2 linked regions of the Notamacropus eugenii genome follow. The protein of the gene in region 1 purifies or fractionates together with the protein of each later gene. This does not show direct contact. Links are inferred from orthologs where the notes say so. Each region holds a gene or a part of one and is shown in the gene's direction. Other genes may lie near its edges.

Region 1 (10,166 bases):
TTTCTATCCAGACTTAATTTCTCTTTTTTTTTCTCTAAATTCCAATTTATTTATTTATTTTTGATTTTCAACATTCATTTCCACAAGATTTTGAGTTCCAAATTTCCCCCATCTCTCCCCTCCACTCACCCCAAGACAGCATGAATTCTGATTATCCCTTCCCCCAATTTGTCCTCCCTTCTATCACACCCCTCCCTTCTCTTATTCCCATCCCCTCAATTTTCTTGGAGGACAAGATTGATTTCTATACCCCATTGCCTGTATATCTTATTTCCCAGTTGCATATAAAAACAATTTTTTACTTTTGTTTTTAAAATTTTGAATTCCAACTTCTCTCCCTTCCTCCCTCCCCACCCATCCCCACTGAGAAGGCAAGCAATTTGATATATGTTATACATGTATAGTTATGCAAAATACTTCCATAAAAATCATGTTGTGGAAGACTGCCTATATTTTCCCCCATCCTATCCTGCCCCCCATTTATCATATTCTCTCTTTTGAGCCTATCCCTTCTCAAAAGAAAGTATTTACTTCTAATTACACACTCTGCCCATTTGCCCTCCCTTCTATCATCCCCTCATTCCCCACCCCACTTATCCCCTTTCTCCCCTACTTTCCTGTAGTGTAAGATGGAGTTTTATAGCAAATTGTGTATGCATGTTATTCCCTCCTTAAGCCAAATGTGATGAAAGTAAGGTTCACTTTTTCCCTCTCACCTCCCCTCTCTTCCCTTCCATTGAAAAAGCTTTTTTTTTGCCTCTTTTATGCGAGAGAAAATTTGGCCCATTCTATTTTTCTCTTTCTCCTCCCAATTTACTCCTCTCACCTCTTAATTTTAATTTTTTTAGATATCATCCCTTCCTATTCAACTTACCCTGTGCCCTCTGTCTATATGTGTATAATCCCTCCAACTACTCTAGTACTGAGAAAAGTCTCAAGAGCTATAAATATTATCTTTCCATGTAGGAATGTAAACAATTCAAGTTTAGTAAGTCCCTTATGATTTTTCTTTCCTGTTTACTTTTTCATGCTTCTCTTAATTCTGTGTTTCAAAGTTAAATTTTCTATTCAGCTCTGGTCTTTTCATCAAGAATGCTTGAAAATCCTCTATTTCTTTGAACGACCATTTTCCCCCTAAAGTATTATACTCAGTTTTGCTGGGTAGGTGATTCTTGGTTTTAAACCTAGTTCCTTTGACTTCTGGAATATCCTATTCCAAGGCCTTCAATCCCTTAATGTAGAAGCTGCTAAATCTTCTGTAATCCTGATTGTATTTCCACAGTACTCTAATTGCTTCTTTCTGGCTGCTTGCAATATTTTCTCCTTGACCTGAGAGCTCTGGAACTTGGCTACAATATTCCTAGGAGCTTTCCTTTTGGGATCTCTTTTAGGAGACAATTGGTGGATTCTTTCAATATTTATTTTGCCCTCTGGTTCTAGAATATCAGGGCAGTTTTCCTTGATAATTTCATGAAAGATGATGTCTAGATTCTTTTTTTGATCATGGCTTTCAGGTAGTCCCATGATTTTTCAATTGTCTCTCCTGAATCTATTTTGCAGGTCAGTTGTTTTTCCAATGAGATATTTCAAATTGTCTGCTATTTTTTCATTCCTTTGGTTTTGTTTTATCATTTCTTGATTTTTTTATAAAGTCATTAGCTTCCATCTGCTCTTTTCTAATCTTTAAGGAATTATTTTCTTCAGTGAGCTTTTGGATCTCCTTTTCCATCTGGCCAAATCTGCTTTTTTAGGGCACTCTTCTCTTTATTGGCTTGTTGGATCTCTTTTGTCATTTGGGTTAGTCTATTTTTTACAGTGTTATTTTCTTCAGTATTTTTTGGGTCTCCTTTGGTAAACAGTTGACACGTTTCATGATTTTCTTGCATCACTCTCATTTCTCTTCCCAATTTTTGCCCTACTTCTCTGACTTGATTTTCAAAATCCTTTTTAAGCTCTTCCATGGCCTGAAACCAATTCATATTTTTCTTGGAGGATTTGGATGGAAGAGCTTTGACTTTGTTGTCTTCTGTTTGCATGTTTTGGTCTTCCTTGTCACCAAAGTAAGATTCTATAATCTGATTCTTTTTTTGGTTTTTGCTCATTTCCCCAGGCATTTGTTTGACTTTTGAGCTCTTTGTCAAGGTAGATCTCTGTTTCCAGTGGGGGTAGGGGGGTGTACCATCAGCTACTTGATTCCCTCCATAATCTGTGGCCTAGAGCTCCAGAAAGAGTCACTGTCTTTGCCTCTGCTGCTGCTGTGACTGCCACAAGTTTCTCCTCCCCATTCCCCCTCTGCCATTCTGGTGCTGGGGCCAAACCACTCCACTTTCACATGCTGGTGCCATAGACTTTTTCCACTGACCTTCCAATTTGTCCTCAATAATCCTACCCCCAACCCCAGTCTTAGGAATTAGAATCAAATATTAAGATGCGGAAGCAAGTAGATTGTGGTAGCTAAGTATCAGTATTAGGTGTTATGGCTGAAAAATCTTAGTTTTGCCCATGATCCTATACTGTCAGTATTGATACTGTATATGGGGGAAAAACAAACTTTGTACATTGCTTATAGCTCTTGTTTTGAGAGGATTAGGGATGAGGGGCATAGGGAAAGGTGGCATATGAATGAAAGATAAGTTGCTTGTAGTTATTGCTGGGGCAGCTCAGTGGTACAGTAGAGAGCACAGTAGGGCTAGAATTAGGAAGACTCCTCTTCCTGAATTCAAATTGATCTTCAGACATGTACTAGTTGTGTGACCCTTGGCAAGTCACTTCAAAGGAAATGGCAAATCACTCCAGTTTCTTTTCTAAGAAAACTCCATGGACAGTAGACAAAGTCCTTGGGGTCAGGTAGAATTGGACACAACTGAGTGATTGAACAAGAACAATTTATTGCCAGGTGCTCTTAAGTCATTAATGACCTATAATAATGTCAGTTGTGGGAACTCCAACTAACAGTCTTAGAGAGTTACCTAAAGTGCAGGAAGATTAAAGGACTTGCCCAGGGTCATACAGTAAGTATTTGAGGCTGCATGTAAACTTAGGTCTTCACTGTATTTTTGTGCTCTAGCCACTGGACCACAACTCAACTCAACTCAGTTCAGCAAACAGTTATTATGCAGGCTTTCTTCATGTGAAATACAATACTCTACATATTCAAATTCACTAGAAAGATTAATTTTGTTTGTTTAGAGAAAGGGTAGATGGCAAAAGGTATATGCAAGTGTGTATGCATATATGTGCATGTTATATACGATTTATTAACTCATTTTGTGGAGCAGTGGATAGAGTAGTAGACCTGAAGTCAGAAAGACTTGACTTTAAATCCAGCCTTAGTCATTTACTAGATGTGCGACCCTGGGCAAGTCACTTTACCTGTGACTGCCTCCTCAATTTTGAGAATCAAATGATATAATATTTGTAACTGGAACATAGTAGGTGCTTAGCAAATGCTTTTTCCCTTCTCTTATTTATTGTTCATTTTCTCTGTTAACAAATTCCTATCTAGACTGAGGAGGTATTACACCCCTGACCTCTTCACTAAGTGGTCCCTCTTAGCTGTGGTCCCACTCATGCATGCCAATCACTTTCAGTCCCCAAAAAGTCTGACTGCAAGGATTTGGCTGCTTGTCTAATATTCTTTGGCTCTTTACATTCCCTTGGAAAAAATTACATCTTAGATTTGACTTATATCTAGGGTCTTCCCAGAGGAAAGATTTATCTATTGTAAAACATGAATCAGGTAAGAGATATCTATTTCCTGCATGCAGAAGTAATGCTTTACCCAGCGGCTCTCAAAAACTTTCCCTGCCAGAAGGATACAAGAGAATACAGCTATTTCTAACTATTCTTATATTTTGTGGAGTGTTTAAGACTTAAACGTCAGAATTTGGAGGACCACCAAATGGCCATTGTTACATTTCACCTAAGCTCTGCACTGTACAAATAACTGTCCAGGTCCATGTTTTTTGGCAAGCCACACCAGGGTTTGTGGCTCCTCTGACTAATGGTTATCATAAAAAATAAGTGCTTGAATTATTGCTGGGGACTTCTGAAGTGAAGTCAAAATCAAATGAAGACAACTCAGGATCCCCTGATATCTTGAACTTACAAGGTCACTTCCAAGTCTGGACTACCTCAAGATTGATGTTTACTTATCTCGGCAAAGAAACATAGCACAAAATGTAGCCAAAGAGCAAAGCTGATCCCTCCCCCTTTTCCCCTCTGTCTTCTCTCTACTCCACTGCTGTGACTGCTACAGGCAACTCCAGGGGTTTGTTATTCCAAAAGCACCCAACTGTTGAGTGAGCATAAAGGATCACAGGAAGCAGACAGGGTAGTTTTTCACAATCCCTGTTACATTATCTTTCTCCATTCTAGTATGGAGTGGGAGTTAGAACTTAGTATTGAAGGCTATAGCTTAGCAAACCCTACTGGGAGGCTACTTGTTTAGAAACTTCATTCAAGTTATTGTTATAAGTAATTATTATAAGGTCTTAGCAAACAAGTATATATTGGGTGTTGCACCCTTCTCCCTGCAGAAGAAAATGAAAAATGCTTCAGTGTTCACAAATATGTGAAGAAAAATAATAATAACTGAATTTGTATAGCTTTAAGGTTTGCAGAGTACTTTGCATATATTGTCTCATTTAACTCACACAAGGAGTCTGTGAGGTAAGTGCCATAGCCAGGGCTACATGCTTTCCACAACATTCTTGAGTGCAGCCAAACCAGAATGAAATGCATTTGGAAAATCTTAAACAAGATAAGAAAGAAAATACCATGAAACATAAATAATATTAAAGTTTAAAACTTAGTCAACATGCAGTCTATAGGGATCCTTATGTATGCATATGCCCTGCTCCTATTTGAGTTTGAAAGTAATAAAATGCAGGTCTTCTAAGTTCAAAGTCTAGAAATCTATCCATGAGGTCAATCAAATGTATATATATTTAAAACATATGTTTGCACAGGCATGTTTTTAAGAGAGGCAGCTAGATGACTCAGAGGATGGAGCACTGAATCTGGAATCAGGAAGACCTAAGTTTGAATATTGGCTCAAAAATGTTACTATTAATTGCTAGGATTTATATAGTGCCTACTATGTGCCAGGAACTTTACAAATACTATAATTTTCTATCATCACAACAACTGTGGCAGGCAGATGCCAATATTATCCCCATTTTCCAGTTTAAGAAACTGAGGCTAAGTGACTTGCTGGGGGTGACACAGGTAGTAATAGTGTGAGGCCAGATCTGAACTTGGATGATCATGACCCAAGCCCTCTATCTTGTGTCACCCAGTTTGGTTAGCTGGGTGACCCTGGGAGAGTCATTCAACATCTCTTTGCCTCAGTTCTCTCATCTATGAAACGGGATAATAATCATCATGGCACATACTCTCCAGGGCTGTGAAGATAAAATGGGATCATATTTGTAAAGTACTCTGATAGCCATTATTATTAAAAAATAATAACCAGCATTGAAATGCTAGTCATTATTATTATCTTAGCATGAATATGACCCTTTAAAGTTGGCAAAACACAAATAATTATCTCACTTGATCCTCACAACATGCTGTTAACATTCAGTTTCACAGATGATGAAATTGGAGGCAAGCAAAGTTAAATAACTTGCCCAGGGTCACACAGACAGAGATCACATTTGAGCCCAGGTCTCCCTGGACTCAGGGATGTGCCAATAAAGAAGGTGACAAGAAAAATCTTTTAATGATTCCTCTCCCCTCCATGTCTGATCTCTTAAGATTACATGCCAGCAATTTTTTCATGGGTAAGGGGAGAGGCAGGAACTCATAGGATCAGATCTGGAAGGGATGTCACCTTCAGTGCCATCCATTCCAAATTTCTCATTTTTGAGGTGTGTGTGTGTGTGTGTGTGTGTGTGTGTGTGTGTGTGTGTGTGTGTGAGAGAGAGAGAGAGAGAGAGAGAGAGAGAGAGAGAGAGAGAGAGAGAGAGAGAGAGAGAGAGAGAGAGAGAGCGGGAAGGAGTGGGAAAGGCAGACAACTGGTGCCCATGGAGGTAAAAGCACTCGCTTTACATCACATAGGTAGGAACAGGCAGAACTAGAACCCAGAACCTCTAACTCCAAAGCCTGCACTCTTTCCACTGTGCCGCTGTATTTCTCTAGGTTTAGTTAAGAATTTTAGCAGGTAGCCTCGCTTCCTGGTCATGCACTGCGGGGATAAAGACGAGTCAGCGGCCCTTGACAGCAAGAATACCCTGGGATAAATAGGATAAAAAAACAAACAAAAAGAAAGCTGTTTGAAGCGAGCTCTCCAGTAAGTCCCACGTCCTTCCCCTTGTTTGCTCTTGCTGGTGATGGAGATCGCCGCTATGGGGCGCTGATGGTACACAGCACCCGAGGGAGGTCCCCAGTTCCCCTGAAGCGCTAGGACCAGGTCATTAACGCTAGATGTCACCTGGAGCAAGCGGGGGGCGAGGAGACCGGGAGTGAGACGCTATAAAAAGAGACAGAGTCGGGCAGTTGTGCACTTCGGGGGCACTTGCCTAGAGTTGGAGGGCTGGAACAGCCAGGAGACTGGGGGAGGAGAAAGGGTACCCAGAGGGGTACTGCAGTTTCCGTCCCTAAGGAGGAGAAAGAACCTCGAAGACCAGGAGAGAGAACCCAGAAGAGGTGCAGGTTAAGCCTCAGAAGAGGAGGGAGACTCAGGGGATGAGAAAGGAGACCCCAGAGGGGAGGGTGCAACTTCAGCTCCTAAGGGGAAAGAAGCCGGACACCCCAAGGAGAAGGGGGATCTCAGAAAGGGCTCAGCTTCAGAACCCAAGAAGGAGGGGGGTAGATCCTGAGAGAGAAGGGGTGCAGCTTCAGCCGTAGAAGAGGAGGAGGGGGACCTCGGGGAGGAGGAAGGGAACTGCAGAAGGGGGTGCAACTTCAGCTCCTAAGGAGAAAGAAGAGGTAGGAGAGGGACCCCAGAGGGGGTCCAGATTTAATTTCTGCTTCGTCTTAACCTAGAGTGCAACAAGCGATCCATCCTCACCCCCATTCCCTCTCCGTACTGGGTATTTGCTTAGTGGAGGAGTAGGAAAAATCTGAAAGTTGTCCGGGGGTTCCCAAGCCCAGAGCGATGGAGACGCAGGGGCTTGAGGTAGGGGGAGACCCTGCCATTTTATCTCAGGACAAGAAAATGATGGACAATAGCAGTAGGTTGCTTAACTACTCCTGGCAGGATCCTGGCCTGGCCGAGAGCACCGTGAAACGACCCACATGGGTACCTTTTACTCTCGCGACCATCCTCATCTTTACTATTGTAGTGGACATCTTGGGCAACATCCTGGTCATCCTTTCGGTATATCGGAACAGGAAGCTGAGGAATGCAGGTAAAAATGACTCTTGGGAGCCACGTGGGGAATGGGAAAAGAAACTCAGAAAAAAGGGGTGACAAGAAGTCGAGGTGAAAAAGGGGGGAGATGATACCCGGGAGAGGCAACTAAAGTCTTCCTGTTCCAGTCCTAGACTTCTTTCCCTCTGAACTCTCTCTCAGTAATGAATCAAACTCTACCCTCCCTGCATTTTCTCTCCCCAACTTCTTTTGGATCAGAACAAAACTTAGAGACACATCTTTTCCCTCTTGGTTATCTGTCTATCTATCATCTATCTATCTTCTATCATCCGTCTATCTATCTTCTATCACTCTATCTATCTATCTATCTATCTATCTATCTATCTATCTATCTATCTATCTATCTATCTATCTATCATCTATCTTCTATCTGCCTATATATCTATCATCTATCCAACTCTGTCTCATTTATTTATTTTGCCTGAAGACTTTCCATAAGAGTTCATAGATTTTAGTAGTAAGCATTCTTTTCTTTATAGTGTCCAACCTAAAATGCTCTTTTGAAAGCAATATATAGTCTTCAGATTACCAAAAAAAATTACCATTCAGTTTTGCTAAGGTTGCTTTCTATTTTCTGAAAGAAAATTTAAAATGCAACTTTTGTTTCAAGTTGTAGAGTTCATTAGACTATTAGATACACATCTCAGTAGGTTCCTAAAATCAACTTACTTTACACCAGGAGTTTTTAACCTCTTTTGGAGTATCATGGACACCTTTGGCAATCTGATGAAACCACTGCATCTCTTCCCTTAATGTTTTTAAATGAATAAAAATTTATACGATTGCAAAGTAAACCAGTTATATTACTTATCAAGTCATTTTTAATTAAAGTTTATGAATCTCAAGTTAAGAGCCCTTACTCTAATCTATTTCCACAATTTGAGTTCTTTATTTTAGTCATTTGTCTTGAAATATGTGTTTAGAGCTGTATATGATGTTTATATATAAATATAAGAAATATAAGATATTTAGATATCTTAACTATTAATATGAGAGAAAATGCAGCAGATATTATGGTGACCAGAAATTCTGTCTTCTTTATTTCCACGTCTTCTCCCAGTGCTTAACAAATATTCACTGAATAAATCAATGGATGAATGAATGAACTATAAAAATCCTCAGAATTCATTCATGACATCATGGATATGGCCAATTAAGTATCAGTTTCTTTTTGGTTTATTCTTTTGAAACAGTCATGGTTGTGTCAAGGTAGACATTTTTATGTTGGGTTTAAGAATAATTTTGTACTTGAGTTATAGCTGCTTTTTCAGTGAGCAACTGAGGATAAATGGTTTATTTCAGGTGAGTTTTTGCAAACTCTTCAACAGCTGGAGAAAATTAAGTATTTCAGCATCATATTTTGGCATTGTACACTGATGCAGTGTTTGCCCATTTGTGAAAGAATCATCCAAATGATTTATACACCTACAAAGGAAATTGACATGGGAGATGGGACTAGTAAGCAGGCACATAAGGGGATTGCTTCATGCATGATGAGGCACTTGGGTCGAGCCTTGAAGGAAGATAAAGTTTCTGAGAGGGAGAGTTGAAAAAGCATAGACTGCATTATAATTATAAGGGAAAGGTCTATGTGAGTTCACAGCAGTGAGTGATAGAGTATTAAGTCAGGGGAAATGATTAGTAATGTAATACAACTGTTACCTACAGTTTTTTTATTCAATGTACATGGAATCTTTTTTGATATGGATGATTTCTATTTGCATAGATTAGGGGTGGGGAACCTGCTGCCTCAAAGCCACAAGTGGCCTTTTAGGTCCTCAAGAGCAGGCCTTTGGCTGAATCCAAACTGCTTGATAAAATAATTATAAAAACTGTGAAGTTGAATTCTTGGGTACATAAAGGGTCACATGTGTTCCCCGCCTCTGGTGTAGATGACAGCTTCAAGACATCTCATAATATACAGTCCTTTTCTATGTCTTCCCATGTTCCCCCCACCGCAGGAAATCTACCCAGTTTGAAAAAGAGAAAACCAACTATACTCTTTTAACTGGGTATCAATGTGATTTTAAACTCCTTGCAGATAGGAATGATTTATCACACTAGGGAAAGATTCCTCATGAGCACCAAATAAATACTTATGCAATATTCTTGGGAGTTCATGGATTTCAACAGATTACAAAAGGGATCCATGACACACAAAAATGTTAACAACCTCTGGCCTAGAGATTAAGTGTCCAGAAACAATATCAGTATGTGCCAGAGACAAGAGTCTAGCCCTAGACTTCCTAGTTCTAAGACAAGCTTTCTATCCACTACACCACACTGCCTCAGGTACATGACCGCATGGAAAATTGTAACTTAAAAAAAAGCTTTAACTGTGTCCATCCAACTTTAATTACAATTTATTCAGGAGCTTCATGATAAATATTTTATAAATTACAATAATGCTGCTACTGAGGAAGAATATTAAATGGCATTTTGATAAGAAAAGATAACAGACATACACGTGTAGTATTGCCTTGCTGGGATTTTGCCTATAAATATCCCACTGGTGTTTTCTGGAATGATCATTTTTAATGCTAGCCACAATAAAAAAGACCTCTGCACCTGGAGGACAGTTTGTAATATGGTTCTTAGACAGATGTAGTTATTTTATGTGACTCACCAAAGACTATTATGTAAAGCCTTATTGCCTTTCATTCTCTTTATTCCTGCTGGATTTATTGTGTTGACAATATAGATGGTTGGCTTGGGATAGAGAAAAAAGAGGAAAACCTCTAAGAAATCTGACTTTTTTTTCCTTTGGAGACATGAGGTAAGTCATTTT
Region 2 (10,070 bases), on another chromosome or scaffold:
TGAAATGCATGTTGGAAAATGTGGTTGATGAGTAAGGAATGAGAGAGGTCAAAGATTTGCCAACTACACAGAAGCCTCTTGCCCATAAACAGATTTACAAGGTCATTATGAACATGATTAACATCAAACAGCATCCCAAATAATAAAATTGATTGTAGTTTAACAGAGAGAAAATTGCTCTGACACAGGAGTCACTTCATTGTATAGTCAGACCACCAAGTTGTTAGAGCAAAGATCAAAATTAATTTCAAGCTAAAAGATAGATTAAAAATGAAAACAATAACATGGTCTATCTTCAAAACAACTCCAAACTGACCTGCTTAAATAAGCTATTGACCCAGGAACACTGGAAATGGATGTACGAAAAGACATTAACAGAGATAACAATGTATTCACAGGGACACTTAACCAATGTAAATCAATTTTCATTAGACCAAAAGAGTTCCCAAACCACATTCATTGTTGACTTGTCCAAAAGTCAAGGGCAACATTGACTTAGAATATAAAATGTTATGGAGAAAGATGGTAGGAGACAATGAGTAATATTATCCCTGAAAAGAAACAGTGGAAAGAAGAATCCGTTAAAGAAAGTTTGGCAAAGTTATGCAGAGAACATTTAAGGATGAAACTGGAAATCAACAACAAACACGCTGGAAAAGATCTGAAAAGATTTTCAAAACAAATTCCTTTTACCTTAAGAGTGGGGGAGTTGCCACATTTGGACTCAGTCCAGGATGTGCTTATAAAGAAAGGAGAAATGATACCAAAAAAACAAACAAACAAAAAATCCCAAAAAACAAAGGTAAGAAAAGCAGCTGGACAAGACCAGATATAATTAGAGGAGGTCAGTGCTGCAGGCAGTAGAGTTTCGAGAGCAGTGATATTAATTAGTCAGGTGACTGAAGAAGGAGAAAATACCACAGCTGTAGAAAAAAAATTCAGACTTTATCACTAGCAAAAAAACCCAAAAAAAACAAAATAAGGAAATAACAATGATCACCCACGCATACGCCTATTTTCCCATCTTCTTACATATCACTTTGCTCCATGCATTCCATGCTCCAGTGATCTAGTCTACTTGGTCGCTGCTGCTGCTGACTCATTTCAGTCATGCCCAACTGAATGCCAAGGCGATATTCACAGCAGCCACTATGGATATGCAGGCATATTTCCAGGATAAATTTACAAAATATAAACTCTCTTCTTCAAAGACAAAACCAAAATATTTATTCAGATACCAGAAAGTCAATTCCACCATGGTAACAAAGCAGTTTATACATATCACTAACAGAGGGAACGTTGACATCCCCAAGTCTTCCCTCCCTTAGGCTTCTCCACAAACAAGCTCGTAGGCAAAATTCCTCCCTCTCTCACTTACACTAGCTGCTCTGCCTCAACTCTGCCTTAGTCTCTCTTAGCTCCACCATTTGGCAAGCTCCAACCACCATGGGCTTCATGTGACTCAAGCTGTGGGCTGGGCCAAAGCTCAAAGCAAGTCACATGGGCCTATTAAGGGTCAGGGAAGATCTTCAAATTCCCTTAATATTACACCAACTCTTCATGACCCTCTTTGGGGTTTTCCTGGCAAAGATACTGAAATGGTTTGCCATTTCTTCTCCAGCTCATTTTGCAGATGGGGAAACTGAGGCAAACAGCATTAAATGACTTACCCAGGGTCACAAAGCTAGTTAGTGTCTGAGGCCAGATTTGAACTCAGGAAGATGAGTCTTCCTGACTCCAAGTCCAGCACTCTATCCACTGTAACACTGAGTTGCCCTTTTGGTTGATTGATCACATACAATTTTTACAAAAATAATCTTTGCACACATTAAGCACATCCTTGATAAGGATGTTAGAAAGTGGCAGGCAGGGCTTCATGAGTGATATTCCATACGAGAACACAGCTCTGATGTTGTCGTTACCGGTGTTCAGTTGCTTCAGTTGTGTCTGACTCTTGGTGACCCCATTTAGGGGTTTTCTTCTTTGCCATTTCTTCTCCAGCTCATTTACAGATGAGGAAACGCAGGCAAACAGGTTAAGTAACTTGCCCAGGGTCACCCAGCTAATAAGTGTCAGAGGTTAGATTTGAACTCAGGTTTTCCTGACTCCCGACCCAAAACTCTGACCATTGCACCACCTGCCTGCACTGAACACAATTTTACCATCACACAATTAACTGGAAGATGTTTATAGTATAAGAACCAACTGTCTATCACTTATCAATATGAAAGTTTGATATAGGGAATAAAATGCTGTTTTTAAAAGCTATCAATAAATAGATCAAACACTTATTAAACATTTACTATGTGCCAGGGATGGGGGCAAAGCTATAACAAGCTTGTTCAAAGACCCTTTCATTCATAATATGAAGTGAGGCACAAAATAAGGAGACATTCTTGCCAAAGGTGTTGGTCACTGTCATGAAGGCTGTCTGGGCCAGAATCCAAACTGAAGAGGGATTCCCTATAGAGGGTCAGGTGCTTCAGGTGTGACTGATTGTGGAGTATTGCAGGGGCTTAAATGAGATCAGTGATCACCCAAAATAGCTTAGGGTTAAAAAAAAAAGTGGGTGAATAATGTCTATTGTCCTTGGCAGAGTGGTAGGTTGTGGACAACAGGTGTGGAATGAGATATATGCAGCCCATGTTTTAGTTTATTTTGCTTGACTATATGTATTGGTTACAATAGAAGTTTCTATTGAGTGAGGGTGGGGGGCAAGGTCATTGATAAATGACAGTTGTTAGAAAGAAAGAAAGAAGGAAGGAAGAGAGAAAGAAAGATGAAGGAAAGGAAGGAAAGAAAGAAGAAAGAGGGAGGGAGGGAAGGAAGTCAACAGAACATTTTAAAAGAATGCCTAGAGGCTAGACTATGATATACAGCTGGATGAACAGCCTATAGAGTTCATTCATATGTGTGACACATATTGAAAGTAGAAAATAGTTTGGGCCCCAGAAATCCACTGGTTGATGTTCAGGTGTTTTCAGTTGTGTCTGACTTGAGATCTCCTTCAGGGTTTTCTTGGCAAAGATACTGGGATGTTTTGCTATTTCCTTCTCCAACTCATTTTTACAGATGAGGAAACTGAGGCAAAGAGGGATAAGTGATTTGCCCAGGGTGACACAGCTAGAAAGAATCTGAGGCCAGTTTCTTGACTCCAGGTCTGGCACTCTATCTACTGTGCCACTTAGCTGCACCCCACCCCCATGACTGATGGGATCAAATAAAATCCTCTTTTTTGGCCTTCAAAGACCTTTACAACCTGGCCCCTTCCTACATTTCCAGTTTTCTTATCCTTTATTCCCATCCAGTCTGGCCTGCAGGATCTTCCTACCCTAGAATATTCCTCCCCCATGCTGGTCCCCTTCTCCCATTCCCGCAGTTTATGTGGTATGGTGGATGGAATTCCAGACCTGAAGTCAGGAACCCCCAGACATGGGCTGTGTGACCTGGCAAACCACTTAACCCTTGTCTGCCTCAGTTTTCTCAGCTGTCAAATGGGGATAATAATAGCACCTACCTACCAGGGTTGTTGTGAGGATCTGAGATATTATTGGTAAAGTGCTTAGCACATATAATAGATATATAATATATGACATATAGGAGATCTTTAATAAATTCTTATCTTCTTCCCCTACTGAGATCTCTGTTTTGGAGATGGGCCTAGGCCAGTCAGGCTTAATTCTTAACTTAATTCTCCTAACTTAATAAATGCTTGTTGACTGACTGACATTACAAACAAGGCATTATTACAAAGGAGAAACAGCAGAAAATGTGACCAAAATGGTGCAATCAGGCTGAGAGGGAAAACTGACCGGCAGTCTTAGGGCTTCCAACATATTTTTGTGCCATTAAGAGGACTCTAGAAAGACGTTTGGATCACTGTGGGTGATGGTTCCTCTGTGTCGAACTCTAGGGAGAACATGTACAAGGGTCACCTAGGCATAGGCAAGTATAGATGGGCTGCAATCCGAATCATTGGAGGGAATTTCCACATCAGTGAGGTCACAAATCCGACTGAGTCTTTGAAGTATAAAAAGTTATTATTAAAATTTATATTGACCTTGACACCTTCCACGAGTCCCACTTGCCCAGCTGTTATCCCCTCTCCCCTTCCTCCCTGTCTATATAAATTCTTGGAGACCTCAATCACCTTAAGTCCAATAGGAAGTCTTCCATGACCACTACCCTTCGTTATCTGGGCTCCAAGAGATCCTGAGGCCCTCAACCCTTCCATCTGAGCCCACTAAAGCCATTCTTGTTTCTCAAAGTCCAGTTTAGGTGCCTTCGTTGGTCCCCTCCAAGCTGAAAAATGTTCTTTCCCCCCTAATTTTCCTAGATGATTGTGTAAACCCTACTGAGGGAATTTTTTCATCCTTGTACTTCCAGCCTAGAGTTAATTTTTTTTTTTTAAATCACCCCTGGCCTCTAGTTTTTAATTTGGAACCTTCCTCCTCAGATATCATTGTGAACTCCATGGTTAGCTGAGGGCTAAGCTTCTCCTCTTACAGTTCTCCCAGTCAGGCATAATACACACACACACACACACACACACACACACACACATATATATAATTTTAGACATAAATATATTCATATTTACAAATCACTGTATATATAAATATATCCATTTTATATATCACTTTATATATAAATATGCTCATATTTATCTATCACTTTATATGTAAACATATCCATATTTATACATAAATATATCCACATTTATACATAAATATATCACTCCGAGGTCCACAAATCACTTTACATTGAAGCTTTTCCATAACCCTGGAAGGCAGGTGATACGACGATCTCCATTTTACAGTTGAGGAAGCTGAGGCAGGCAGAGCTTCAGTGACTTGCCCCAACAGGGTCCCCACCCTCAAGGAGTTCACAACCTCAGATTCAAGAGGAACTTTATTCTAAACAGAGGGCATCTCTGCCTGAGGTCACCCTGGTTGGGGAAGCCAGGTGTCTCGGCTCCCAGTCTGGAGCTCTTTATCACCTCAGGGAACCCAAGAACTCACCCCTTCTTTCTTCCCTCACACAACCCTACTTCCCAACACTCTAAGCTATCCGACCAGACACCCACACTTGGCTATAAGTGGATTTGTCAGGCTATTTCTTGAATGCTCTTGTGAATGACCCTTAACCTTTGCCTGCCTCAGTTTCCTCAGCTGTAAAATGGAGATAGCCTACCTCCCAAGGTTGTGGAGAGGATTCAAAGGAAAGTGTTTTATGGACCTTAAAGTGATATATATCTATCTATATACCTACCTACCTATCTACCTATGTATCTATCTATGTATCTATCTACCTACCTACCTATCTATCTCTATCTGTCTGTCTATCTATCTATCTACCTATCTATCTACCTATGTATCTATCTATGTATCTATCTACCTACCTACCTATCTATCTCTATCTGTCTGTCTATCTATCTATCTATCTACCTATCTATCTAATCTATCTATCTATCTAAACCTTCTGCGGAAAATCGTGAACTTAGGCTATACTTTAGTCTATTAAAGCATATTTTAGAATAGGAAAAAGCCGGGGACGTGGAACCACGTGCTGCGGTTCAGTTTCCTTCTAAAGAGAGCAGCCAGCTCTACCAACCTCGGAGTGGGGGGGGGGGGGGAGAAGAAGATACAAAGTGACAAGTGAACGCTAATTATTATTATTATTACATTAAACCACGCCCCCAGCCCAGGCTCCGAGAGCGGGGACTCCCCCCACCCCCATTTCACAGCTAAGGATTAAGTCTGCCCCAATCCCGGGTCCCGCGCTGCCGCCCCACCCGTTCTAGCTCCGCCCACAGACCCACCCCGACCATTCCCCGCCTCGGATCCCGCCTCCCCCCCAATCCCCGTCTCTGATTTCGTTCTGGCCCGCCCCCAATCCAATCCCCACCTGCGATCGCCCCTTCCGTTCCTTCCCCGCCTCCCCTTTACCTCACTCATTCCTCCATCCAATCCCCGCCTCTCGTCCCGCGCTCCGGACCCGCCCCCGGGCCAATCCCCGCCTCCGGGTCCGCTCCCGTCCCGCCCCACCCCGCCCCGCCGTCGCGGCCGCTGCGGAGGAGCCGGCGCCGCCCGCAGTCGCTGGGAGCTCCTCACACGAGCGCGGTCCGCGGGGTCCGGGCAGAGCGCGCGGAGGCGGGACGGGACGGTACGGGGCCGGGCCGGGGCCAGGCTGGGCCGGGCCGGCGGGATGGGGTGCACCGTGAGCGCCGAGGACAAGGCGGCGGCCGAGCGCTCCAAGATGATCGATAAGAACCTGCGGGAGGACGGCGAGAAGGCGGCGCGGGAGGTGAAGCTGCTGCTCCTCGGTGAGGCTGTGGGCCTGAGCCCCGGATGGGTCCTGGGCCCCCCACCCCGGCGGCGCCCCCCACCCTCCGGGCTCCTCGGGGGCCTGTCCGAGGGCCGCTGTCCTCCTGCCCCCCCAACCGCCGTGCCCCCGCCTTGGAGCCCCCAAACTCTTGGGTTCCCCCGCACCCTCAGAATCTCCGCCCCCACTGCCTGTTACCCCCCCAAATCCCCGACCTGCCCTAGTACCTGGGGTGCATCTCACCCCAGATCCCCAAACCCTGGCGTCCAGCTCCGCCCCCCCAATCCCAGCGCCCCTCTCTTATTTGGACCCCAACCCCCCGGTATCCCACCACCTTGACCCCCAACCGCGCCGGAGCCCCTGGCCCCCTCATCCACACTCTTGCACTCATTTCTGGCCCCAAATCCTTGCCTTCCTATTTACACCCCTGAACCCTAGTACCCGCAAGCCTTACGAGGCCCTCCGAACGAGTGCTTCCCCCCGCACTCACAAGCTCACCCCCCATCCTCTCCCGCTGCTCCCCAGTTTCGTTGCCCACTCTCTACGTTCCATTTTTACAAGGCAGGTTCTCCCAGATCTCCGGCCTCCCCATTACGCCTCCCGAACCCCCCGTCCTGCTCAAGGCTCCCCAAACTGACCCTCGTATCTTCACACTTCTTCTGGCCTCTTGGAATTCCTGCTCCCTTTGAGGGGAGTGCTTCTTAACTTGCCCCCCCACCTCATCAGCCTGGGCTTCCTCTGGCTCCCTCTGTGCCCCCTTAGGGGACGCCCCCCCCACCTGCCTTTGCCTGCCGTCAGTCGCTCATCCCCCGCCGCCGGGCTTTCCACGTCACACTGCCCCCCCAAGTACCACTCGCATCCAGCCTAACCACCCTTTTCTCCGCCCCCCCACCCCGTACCCCCTGGAGTCTCCTGCGAGTTTGCCGCCTGCGGTCCCCGGCTCGACCCGGTCTTTCCGCTATCTCCCCACCCAACCCCACCCCGCCCCTGGGGCAGAGATGGAGAGTCGGGTGGCTGCCTCCTGGGCTTGAGGTGTGGGTGGATTTCCCAAACCCTGAGGGTGGAGGGAAAGCTGCGAGAATCAAAGGCTTTTTCCGACCCATCCCCCCCCCCCCCCAGTTACGGAAACGCCCTGGACTGGAGAGGAGGGCGGGGTGTGTTGGGGGGGAAATAGAGAAGTTCCTCTTGGTGGGGTGGGGGGAAGCTGCCGGCCGCGGGGGTGGGGGGGGCGGGGCCGCCTCGGCCTCCAGGGCCTCGTTCCGCTTACTTTGAGCTTTGGAGTTTCGAGGTGTCCCCCCCCGCCGCGCCCCTCCCTCTGAGCTGGGGATGGGGGCCGGACCCCCTCCGGGCGCCCCGGGGGGACGCTCTCGCCCCCGATCCCCCCTAAGTGCCTGGGCCTGGGGCGGGAGAGTTGGTTTGGATGCTCGGAAAAGGGGATTTCGACTTTTTTTTTTTTTTTTGAATTCTGTTTCCAGCCCCTGGGGAAAATGGTGGCGCTGGGGGAAGGGGAAGGGGGTGGGGAGGGCCGGGAACTGGAGGCAGCTTCGACTTCCCCTTTTCTCAGTCCGCGGGACAGGCGGGGCGGCCGGGGAGACAGCGAGCCCGGCGGGGCCCGGGTGTCCTAGCGAGTGCCCAGGGCTGGCGGGGGCTCCAGGGGGCCTGGGGCCGGGGGCAAGGCCGTTCTCTCCCCGAGAGTTAGGGAAGTCTGGCAGTGCTGTGCCGGCTGGCACCCCTCCCCACCCAACCCCCCGAAAAGAAGCCCGCAGGGAGAAAAACAAAGCGGCTGGGCCGAGCTAGGCCACTCCTCTGGGGTTTGCCTGAAGGGCCCTGGTGGGGATGGACGTATTGTGATCCTGGGAGATGGCATCTGACTCTAGGGAAGTGTGGAGAGGAAACTGCCCAGACTCGGGGAGGCCTAGGCCTTGGGCATTGGGGAACCATCCAAGGATCCCGCGGAGGGTAGGGGGGCGTGTAGCCCCACCTTGTATTCCCTGGGCTAGCGGAGAAGTGGTTCGTGTGGTGTTCCTTATCACTGATGAAATGTTCTGACGTGGAGAGGGGAGGAAATGGATGTACCCAGTGCTGTGTGTGTGCTCCGGGGAAGGCTGAGGCCAGCTGTTTACGGGAGGGCAGGGCAGGGCACAGCACAGCTCTCTGCACAGTTAGAAGCTGCTTCCTGTGCCTGCTTGTGTTCTGAGAGGTGGGTGGAAGCCGTGTGTGGGCTGGTCCCAAGCTGTGGGAGCCTTCTCCACCTTCACTTCGGCCTTCCTCTTGTGATGGGCTCACCTCAGGCTTTAAGTGGCAGGTGGATTATTGTCCTCGTTTCAGCTGGAAGCTTTCCCTAGCAGAGTGCTGTTTTCATCAAGATGACTTCATTCTCCCTTAGACCCCCAAATGGGCATGGCCCTTGCCTTGCCTTCCTTTTGGAGAACCAGAGAGGATAAGTACAGCAGGGCCTTGGGTTAGGAGGAGGAGAGGTTCCAAACCTAACTTGGGGATTCTGAGCCCACAAGGCTGGACTGGGCTGCCTTCTGATCTGCCCCCTCTGAGATTTTTTTAAGCAAGAATAAGCTGGATTTTTTTTCTTCTTCCTATTTTTTTTTTAAATAGCAGCTGTTCAAGTGTAAATAGTGCTGAAGTCTTGAGATATCTTATTCCTCCAGTTTGAAGCCAGAAACAGCTTTGGGCTCCCCTTCAGATGATTGTAAAATGAGACTGTTTTTCACAGGGGAAGATGGGAGAGCTGCAAGCTGGCAGCACCCATCCTCTTTTCTGGATGATGACTAATTAGAGGTGCTATTAGAGGTGGTAATTTCTGGGCACATGCATCAGTTTTAGGGTAATTACAGCCTTATGCTCACCTCCAGCAAAGCCATTCATTGGACTTGTGGGTTTAAGGATCATGGCATCTCCTGTGGCTCCCAGAGAGAATGACTGACCAGGGAGACTTTGGGATGAGCAGACTTTTTCAAGATGGCAACTGAATGAAGGAGAAGGGCTTGCAGAGCTCAGCTCAGCCTCCCACCCTTCTTTCAGCGGCATTTTACTCCTATCTTAGCATGCTGTCCTGGGTCCAGCAGTGTGTCCTGGGCAGAGAGAAATGCTTTTATGGTTCTTGGGTTCTCAAAGTTTCTGAGAAAGTAACAGCGTCCTGGTTGGCAGGAGGAAACAAGCAGCTGAGAATGTGATAGCAGAGTGTGGGGCAGTCTTCTTGGCAGCCAGTGTCTTTGTAAGCCTTGGCCCTCAGATTTGGACGTGACCTCCGGGCTAGCAGCAACCTAATCTGGATTTTGATGTCTCCAGAGTGTCATGTGTAGCTTGGTTTTTAAGGTAGCTTTGATGGATGAGACCTGCCTGTTTGCCTGTGTGGGCTGAAGTACCCTTACCCTGCTGAAAGATTTAATTGTTGAAGGGCTGGCACTGGAAATCTTACTTGGAGTTTCCCCCTGACTAGTTGGGGGGGGGGGGGGTAGTGAGGAAGCAGCTGGACCAGTCAGAGAAGACCTTCGTTGTCCAGCTCCTAGTAGAACTTGGCCTTGGTGGGGCCGGGGGAGGGGGGAAAGCCCAGAGGAAGGAAAAGAGCCGAGCGCAGAGCTCAACATATCCTCTGTCCTGGGAAGCCTTTCTCGAAGCTTTCTCCTTTATCCATTTCTGTGGCTCTTGTCCCTTTCTTTCCCTGTCTTCCTGGCAGTACCAGCCACATTTTAGCCTAAGTGTCTGCCTTTGGGGCCCAGAGCACCCTCTCT

The links.
Region 2: the proteins of MTNR1A (region 1) and GNAI2 purify together in Homo sapiens (tandem affinity purification; 3 studies listed by BioGRID and IntAct, with this or other methods). This does not show direct contact. The link is inferred for Notamacropus eugenii from reciprocal best matches to the Homo sapiens genes MTNR1A and GNAI2.

What each region holds. Positions count from the first base shown.
Region 1 is NC_092878.1:105,770,195-105,780,360, reverse strand, and holds the start of MTNR1A (melatonin receptor type 1A), read left to right. Parts: upstream 1-6,442; 5' UTR 6,443-7,102; coding exon 7,103-7,355; intron 7,356-10,166.
Region 2 is NC_092872.1:5,238,849-5,248,918, reverse strand, and holds the start of GNAI2 (guanine nucleotide-binding protein G(i) subunit alpha-2), read left to right. Parts: upstream 1-6,066; 5' UTR 6,067-6,207; coding exon 6,208-6,325; intron 6,326-10,070. UniProt on the Homo sapiens protein: Guanine nucleotide-binding proteins (G proteins) are involved as modulators or transducers in various transmembrane signaling systems.